Linked DNA regions of Macaca fascicularis. The protein of the gene in region 2 binds, or shares a complex with, the protein of the main gene of each other region. Links are inferred from orthologs where the notes say so. Each region holds a gene or a part of one and is shown on either strand. Other genes may lie near its edges.

Region 1 (3,770 bases), on a different chromosome or scaffold from region 2:
GCTGCTCTAGAACTGCTGGCGTGAGCCACCGCATCCGGCTTTGCCCAGTTTTTAATGGGGTTGTTTTTTCTTGTTGTTTTGCAAAGTACTTTAATTGTCTCAATTAGCAAGTAAGAATTTCCCAACTACTAAATCATTCCTATATATTAAATATATTCGGCCGGCTGGGCGCGGCCTGAATATATACATTTGGTCTATTAATGTGGCAAACCTGAAGTTCTCTTTAGTGTTTCAATACTGAATAAAAATAAATTATAAATTATTATTTATCTTATAGCAACACAGTTAAAAGTTATTATTTTCACACTTTTTTTTTTTGTTTTGTTTTAGTAGAGGTGGAGTTTCACCGTGTTAGCCAGGATGGTCTCGATCTCCTGACCTCATGATCCACCCGCCTCAGCCTCCCAAGGTGCTAGGATTACAGGCGTGAGCCGCCGCACCTGGCTCAGTTATTATTATTTTTTGAGACAGGGTCTTACTCTGTCACCCCGCGGGGAGTGCAGAGGCACCATCACTGCTTACTGTAGCCTCAGCCTCTCTGGGATCAGGTGATTGTCCCACCTCAGCCTTCCCAGTAGCTGGGACTACAGGGGTGTGCAACTTCGCCCAGCTAATTTTTGTATTTTTTTTGTAGCGATAGGGTTTTATCATTTTGCCCAGGCCAGAAGGATTGCTTGAGACCAGCTTGGGCAACATAATGAACCCTTGTCAGAAAGAGAAGGGGAAAAGAAAGGAAAGGAAAAGGGAAAGGAGAAAGGAAAGGAAGGATGAGACAAATATAATTGTGTTATTTAGAGAACAGAGGCATCACTGGGCATGGTGTCAGAGGCTTGTAGTCCCTGCTACTGGGGCAGCTGAAGAGGGAGGATCTCTTGAGCCCAGGAGTTGGAGGCTGCAGTGAGCTATAATCACACCACTGCCCTCTAGCCTGGGTGACAGAGATCCTGTCTCCAATTTAAAAAATTAAAAATAAAAAAGAACAGAGATGTCAAAAATTTTCAAGGAATCTCCTCTGGTGTCCAAACCACGAGAACCATCTGTGGTTAGGTGTGTTCATTGCTGCATTAATTAAAAGCGCTTTATAGTCCCACCACTGGGGAGGCTAAAGAGGGAGGATTTTTTTCAGCCCTGGAGTTCAAAGCCAACCTGGGCAACATAGCCAGACCCCATAACTTTTTTTCTATCCCCCCCTTTTTTTTACTATGCAAATCTCACTACACAGACCCTATAGCAAAACAAAACAAAACAAAAAGGCGGGCGCTTATTCTGCTCTGTACTCAGCTGTCTCAGGCAAGTGACAGAATAATCTGAAAACCTGGTGCCAGAGGGAGAAAACGTAGTGGCCAGGGATCAGAAGCGAGTGAGGGACGTATGAAGTATTCATTCTGCAAGTATCAGTTCCTTCCTCTGGGAGAGATACTGGGCTTGTCCACGCCTTCCTGAGTCCATGGTTAAGACTCCCGCTGGGCACCAGCGGATTCCTGGTGCCCAGAGCCCGGTTCCTCCTACCGGGTGCGCTGGGGAAAGGGCTGCTCCTGACAGAAGAGACACTGAGAGCAACGCAGGAACCGGTGCACTTGCGCTGCCTCGGAAAAAGCCGGGGCTCCTGGAGGCGGAGGCGAGGCCTGGGACCCAATGAGAAGGGCGCGGTTGGAGAGGAGGGGCTGGCCAAAAGCACTTTAAATAAGGCCCAGGCGAAACCGCAGTTCTAGTCGCCTAGCTCCAGCTTGGCCTTTGGGTTTGCTGTGGTGGTCTTGTCTCCTGCAGGACCGGGCGCAGCATGGACACTCCCAGGCGGTTTCCGACGCTCGTGCAACTGATGCAGCCAAAAGCAATGCCAGTCGAGGTGCTTGGTCACCTTCCTAAGCGGTTCTCCTGGTTCCACTCTGAGTTCCTGAAGAATCCGAAGGTAGTTCGCCTGGAGGTTTGGCTGGTGGAAAAGATCTTCGGTGAGTGGAGCAAGGAGGGGCAGCCCCTATGCGGCTTCTTTCTGCCGCCCACACCCACATCCCACTGCGTTCCAGGGCAAGCCTCCCCAGTAGCCAATGCCCTCTGGCTGTCTCCTCCTTCCACTTTCCCCTCCCAAGACCCCCGGGAGCCACCCAACCCTCACAGCCTCTCTACTACCCGCGCAGGCAGGGACCGAGAACGCATCCCGCACGTCCAGGGTATGTCCCAAATCTTGATTCATGTGAATCGGTTGGACCCTAACGGCGAGGCTGAGATCTTGGTATTTGGGAGGCCTTCTTACCAGGAGGACACAATCAAGATGATCATGAACTTGGCTGACTATCACCGACAGCTCCAGGCGAAAGGTACGGGGCTGGGAATGGGGCTACCTGGAGCAAACCCTGGCTCCGTAGGAGTGATCCTGGGGTTTCCTGGCTGCTGGGGCTGCAGTCTCGCCCTCCCAGTCTGCCCCCGGTTAGTGGGTGGGAGACGGGGCGGTTGCCATGGATCCAGAAGGCCAAAGTGAACCCGCGTTCTGGGATTCCTGGTTCCTACTCCCGCAGGCCGCTTGGGTGACTGTCCTTTTTTGGAGAGGATATAGGGACACAGCTGTGGCCTCCGCACACTGCTCTTCTTTCAGGCTCAGGAAAGGCCCTCGCCCAGGATGTCGCCACTAAGAAGGCCGAGATCCAGCTGTCTTCAGCAGAAGTCCGGGAGGCCGGGACCCAGCGTTCGGTGGAGGTCCGGGAGGTCGGGACACAGGGTTCTCCGGTGGAGGTGCGGGAGACCGGGACCCAGCAGTCTCTCGAGGCTGCCAACCAGTCCGGGACCCAGCGATCCCCCGAAGCTGCCAGCAAGGCAGTGACCCAGCGGTTTCGCGAGGATACCCGGGCCCCAGTTACCAGATTATGAAGGCATCTCGGGCCCTGGAGCCAGAGCCAGTCAGGGGTTAAAGTGAAAGCCCGTACTTCGCCCAGAAGCTGCGGTTGGGAGGAGGATGATGTGGATTTTTTGTTTTACCCCTTCTGTTGAATGGTTGCAAACACAAACTTGAGTTCTAATAAAAAATTGCAAACTAGAAGCCGCCCCCTACTTCAGCCCCTGAAGCCGGGGTAAGGGTGGATGATGTGGATTGGTTTTTTTTACCCCTTCTGTTGAATGGCTGCAAACACAAACCTGAGTTCTAATAAATAATTGCAAAGTGGAAGCCCCCCGCTACTTTAGACCAGGAAGCCGGGGTGGCGGGGGAGGTTGACGTGGATTGTTTTTGTTTTACACCTTCTGTTGAGTGGTTGTCAACACAAACTTGAGTTCTGATAAACAATTGCATTTCCCTGACGTCTGTATTTTGGAAGGTAGAGGGGAGGGAAAGGCGTATTCCTCCAACAGCCCAGTTCTGCCCTGCGCCGCTCTTTACCTCGAGACAGGTGGGGCTTCTGGCTCCCAGCCGCCCGGGGTCGCAATCTTCCCTGGCTGTGGTCCGCTGTGCCACTTGTACTCCTTAACCGCGCGCATCTGGCTTTAACAGGTGAGAAGCTTCTCTGGCCCACTAGGAAACCTCTCCAAGCCCGCTGTGGTTCTACTCAAGGTGACTTGGGATGAGAAAACCGGGTCGCTTGGGGGCCAGCTGGATTTGGAAGGCCCTGCGTGTATGGCGACGCTGCCACAGAACACTTTCCCCGCTGGGGAAAATTACCTCGGGGAAGGGGGAAACGAAGAGAGCCGAGCTGCACTCTCCGGCTGCACTGTTGCCGTCTTCAGGTCTTGCTTGGGTCACCCACCTTCCAGGAAGGTCTTGGACACCAGCAAGATACAGGCAC
Region 2 (4,580 bases):
AATCCTTTGAACCCGGGAGGTGGAGTTTGCACTGAGCACTCCAGCCTGGGTCACAGAGCAAGAGTCCACATCAAAACAAACTAAAACTAAATACATTGGACTTTATCAAAAGTATAAACTTCTGTTTCAAGATTGCTAAGGGAGTACATTTCAAGTGTTCTCACCACAAAAAAAAATAAGTATTCAAGGCAACAGATGTGTGTTTGTTAGCTTGATTTAACCATTTGACATTGTGTACATAGATCACACTGGACCCCACGAGAATATACAATTATAATTTGTCAATATACACACACACAAAAAAGCCAAGTGCAACTTCCGGATTGTGTAAAATAAGGGCACCCAACACACACACACACACACATACACACACACTGTCTCTCTCACACACTCATACACACACTCTGTCTCTCTCACAAACACACTCTCACACATACTCTCTCACACACACAGTCTCACACACTCTCACACACAGTCTCTCACACACACTGTCTCACACACATCCTCTCTCACACACTGTCTCTCTCACACACTCTCACACTCACACACAGTCTCTCACACTCTGTCTCACACACACTCTCACATGCACACACACTGTCTCACACACATCCTCTCTCACACACTGTCTCTCTCACACTCACACTCACACACAGTCTCTCACACTCTGTCTCACACACACTCTCACATGCACACACACTGTCTCACACACATTCTCTCTCACACACTGTCTCTGTCTTGAACACTCTCACACACACACATGCATTCTCTCTGTCTCTCACACACACACTGTCTCTGTCTTGCACATTCTTTCTCACACACACACTCTCACACACGCACTCTCTCTGTCTCTCACACACACTGTCTCTGTGTTGCACATTCTTTCACACACACACTCTCACACACATGCACTCTCTGTCTCTCTCACACACTGTCTCTGTTTTGCACGTTCTCACACACACTCTCTCACACACATGCACTCTCTCTGTCTCTCTCTCATACACACAGTCTCTGTCTTGCACATTCTTTCTCACACACTCTCTCCCACACACATGCACTCTCTCTGTCTCTCTCTCTCTCACACACACACACACACACATACACTAATTGCTCCGGGACAGCCAGCTGAAGGCTGTTAGCATCCGGGCACCCTGAGCGCAGGTGTGTGGGGGCAAGGCAGCCTCTTGGCAGCAGCAGCACCTGTAAATGGTGCACACAGGTGCAGAAAAGTGCCTGTTCCCTGGGGCTGGTCGTTCAGAGCCGGTTGCTGCCAATAGGCAGCAGCAACATCACGGGCTCAGCGCTCCCCAAGGATTATCGCCTCGTGGGCACGGAGCTGGGCGTGGCCGCCTTTTTTCTGTGATTGCCAGTTGGCCCAGCGCAGGACCTGCTCTTGGAGGCGAGGTGTGAAGTTGGTGAGTATTCCTCTTGTCTTGCTCCTTGTCCTTCCCGCTTTTGTTCTCCACTGCTGATTAGAACTTGCATATTGAGCTTACTAGGCGCCCCCACCCTCTCCCTTTTGGCTGCTCAAAGCCCGGGACCAAAGGGTTCCTCGAAAGAACAAAGTCCAGTTACCCCATTTTGCTGTAAAGATCTTCTCCTAAAACCTCATATTTACTTGGGATATTTAGGTAAGTCTCTCGTCCTTTCCAGACATTTGGTCTAAAATACAGTACAGAGGGCTGGGCACAGTGGCTCATACCTGTAAACCCAGCACTTCAGGAGGCCGAGGCAGGTGGATCATCTGAGGTCAGGAGTTCAAGACCAACCTGGCCAACATGGTGAAATCCTTGTCTCTAATAAAAATACAAAAATGAGCCGGGCGTGGTGGCAGGCGCCTATAATCCCACCTTCTAGGGAGGCTGAGGAAGGAGAATTGCTTGAACCCAGGAGGCAGAGGTTGCAGTGAGCCAGGGTCACGCCACTGCACTCTAGACTGGGTGACAGAGTGAGACTCCATCTCAAAAATAAATAGAATACAGAGTGGGGGTACTGCGACTTGAATGTCAGGGTTAGCAAATGTGTGCATTTAGTAGGAGTCTGGGGTGGGGGGTGTTACGGTGCTAATTGTGCTAATAATATGTTAACTGTAACTTAGTTACTGAAATGCCGTATAATTCTGACAGTGTTGTTTGTCCTGTTTACCAAGGGAGGAAGCTGAGCCCCAGAGAAATTAAATGTCTTGCCTGGGGCAGAAAGCGGCAAATCAATATTCAAAACTGGGTCTGAGACTTCCAGCCCTGTAATCTTAACTGCTTCTTATCATTCAGGACACCTGCGTAGAAAGGTGTGGTGGGAGAGGTCGGTCTGTAGAAAAAGCATAGCGACAAAGTGCGAGCTTAGGGAAGTCACTCATCCTCAGAAAATAACCTCAACCAGCAGCTTTCCTTTACCTCCTTCCGGCTGTAATCCTGCCTGGACTTGAAAAACTTCTCCCCAACTCCTCACCCACCTGACTTCACTCAGGAGAAAGTGACCATGCCTATCCCAAATTAATCCCTACACCATCCAGTCATCTTTCTCTGGGGCTTGATTAATCAGTTCAAGGGAAATACAGGGCGTTATCATCCCGTATGCATTAATGCACCTTCCCCTAAAACAGAGCAACCCAGTCAACATCACAGAACCTCAGCTTCGAACTCTGGAGTGAGGACGGCGATGCCCTTTGTATATTAATACGCCATGTAAGGCCGGGCGTGGTGGCTCACGCCTGTAACCCAGCACTGTGGGAGGTAGAGGCGGGCAGATTACCTGAGGTCAGGAGTTCGAGACCTGCCTGGCCAACATGGTGAAACTCCGCCTCTACTGAAAAAAAAAAAAAATTAGCTGAGTGTGGTGGACACCTGTAATCCCAGCTGCTCGGGAGGCTGAGGCAGGAGAATTGCTTGAACCTGGGAGGTGGAGGTTGCAGTGAGCTGAGATCACGCCACTGCACTTCAGCCTGGGCGACAGAGCAAGACTCCATGTCAAGAAGAAAAACTGTATCTGCTACATAAAGTTGAAATGAAATGCTTTGAGTCACCTAAGGCAGGATATAGACAAGAGTCTTTGTCATCTTGCTGCTTCTACCTTTATTCTCAGCTCTGAACGTATGAACTTGCTCAATCACCTCACCCTAAAAATAAAATCACCGTCCCCAGACCACACTCATTTCCTTACCCGCCCCTGAGGTTTTTGTTGGTTTTGACAGCCCTGGTTCACTTCTTGGTCCTCCAGCCCCTTCAAAGGATTGTGCAGTGTGGTAAGGCAAATGTTTAATTCAAATTATGTATATATAGAAGTGTTGACATATGACAGTCCGAAATTCATTCTCTCTTAAATAACCTTCCCCTCTTAATTTCATTGCCTGCATTGAGAGTCTTTGTCTTGTGTGTTTTGCTTTCAATTTCCATGTATCCAGGTGCTTTTTGTTAACTTAGAAGGGGTAGGAAAACCTAGAAAATGTTAATTGTTCTGTGGTTAGGATGTTAGCTTTTAAACAGGTGCTCAGAAATAAGTATTTTTCCGTTTACCAATGACCAACATGGTCCCTAAATATTTATAGGAATGTGTAGAAAAGCTTATTTTCTTGCTATGGTTCTATTTGGAGCAACACAGCACATAAACTTCAATGTTCTATCAGTGTTCACGTGTACCTAGGTTTTTGGCCTTCCATGAATGGGTACTGGTAAGAATACCTCTATTGTTTTGGTGAAATTCCTTTATGTCTACTTAGCTTCTACTAAAATGATTTTTTAATGGGAGGTACTTTTTAGTATTAATTTGGTGATTTGGGTTTTTTTGTGTGTGTGTGTGTGTGTGTGTGTTTTAAGATGGAGTCTCCGTCTGTCACCCAGGCTGGAGTACAGTTGCACAATCTCGGCTCACTGCAACCTTCACCTCCCGGATTCAAGCGATTCTCCTGCCTCAGCCTCCTGAGTAGCTGGGATTGCAGGTGCCCACAACCAAGCCTGGCTAATTTTTGTATTTTTAGTAGAGACTAGGTTTCACCATGTTGGCAGCGCTGGTCTCGAACTCCTGACCCAGGTGATCCACCCACTTCAGGCTCCCAAAGTTCTGGGATGTCAGGCATGAGCCACCGCGCCCAGCCTTTTTCAGTATTAATTTGAAAGCAGCAATACGAGAAGATGTGGTGTGAAGTGTGTCCTTCCCTGCCCCTCTTAGTGTCTCCTCCCTATTTTCTGCTCCTCACCCAAAGGCGTTGTGCGCGTGTGTGTGGTGTTGAGAGCCTTACAGGTGGGGCACCTTTCTGTGCTGATCCTTGTGCATTTTTAAGGACGCAGGGTACGTTGGTGCTTAAATTAATCCACCTGTTATTAACCGACTCCTAAATGGTCTTCGGTCTTGCTGCTTTACACAAGGCTGGGTCTAATATTTACAATTAAAATGGGTAAAGATTGCCAAAGTACCGTCCAAAAGGATGGCATGCATTTACACTTCCACTAATGTAGGAGCACGTTTTCCTTCACCCATCACAAAGCAGGGTCCAGTCATGCATTGTGGACATTGTCAGCCTCACATGTCAAACGTGGTACATCATTTTGACTATCAGTAATAACATTTTTTTTAAAGTACATTTAAGA

The links. Proteins that work in one complex are often made in the same cells at the same time.
Region 1: NLRP5 (region 2) and KHDC3L share a complex: the UniProt entries of both Homo sapiens proteins name them as parts of the subcortical maternal complex. The link is inferred for Macaca fascicularis from reciprocal best matches to the Homo sapiens genes NLRP5 and KHDC3L.

The regions. Positions count from the first base shown.
Region 1 is NC_088378.1:101,686,925-101,690,694, reverse strand, and holds KHDC3L (KH domain-containing protein 3), read left to right. Parts: upstream 1-1,708; 5' UTR 1,709-1,780; coding exon 1,781-1,949; intron 1,950-2,135; coding exon 2,136-2,315; intron 2,316-2,590; coding exon 2,591-2,862; 3' UTR 2,863-3,028; downstream 3,029-3,770. UniProt on the Homo sapiens protein: Component of the subcortical maternal complex (SCMC), a multiprotein complex that plays a key role in early embryonic development.
Region 2 is NC_088393.1:63,954,723-63,959,302, forward strand, and holds the start of NLRP5 (NACHT, LRR and PYD domains-containing protein 5), read left to right. Parts: upstream 1-1,379; 5' UTR 1,380-1,412; intron 1,413-4,580. UniProt on the Homo sapiens protein: Component of the subcortical maternal complex (SCMC), a multiprotein complex that plays a key role in early embryonic development.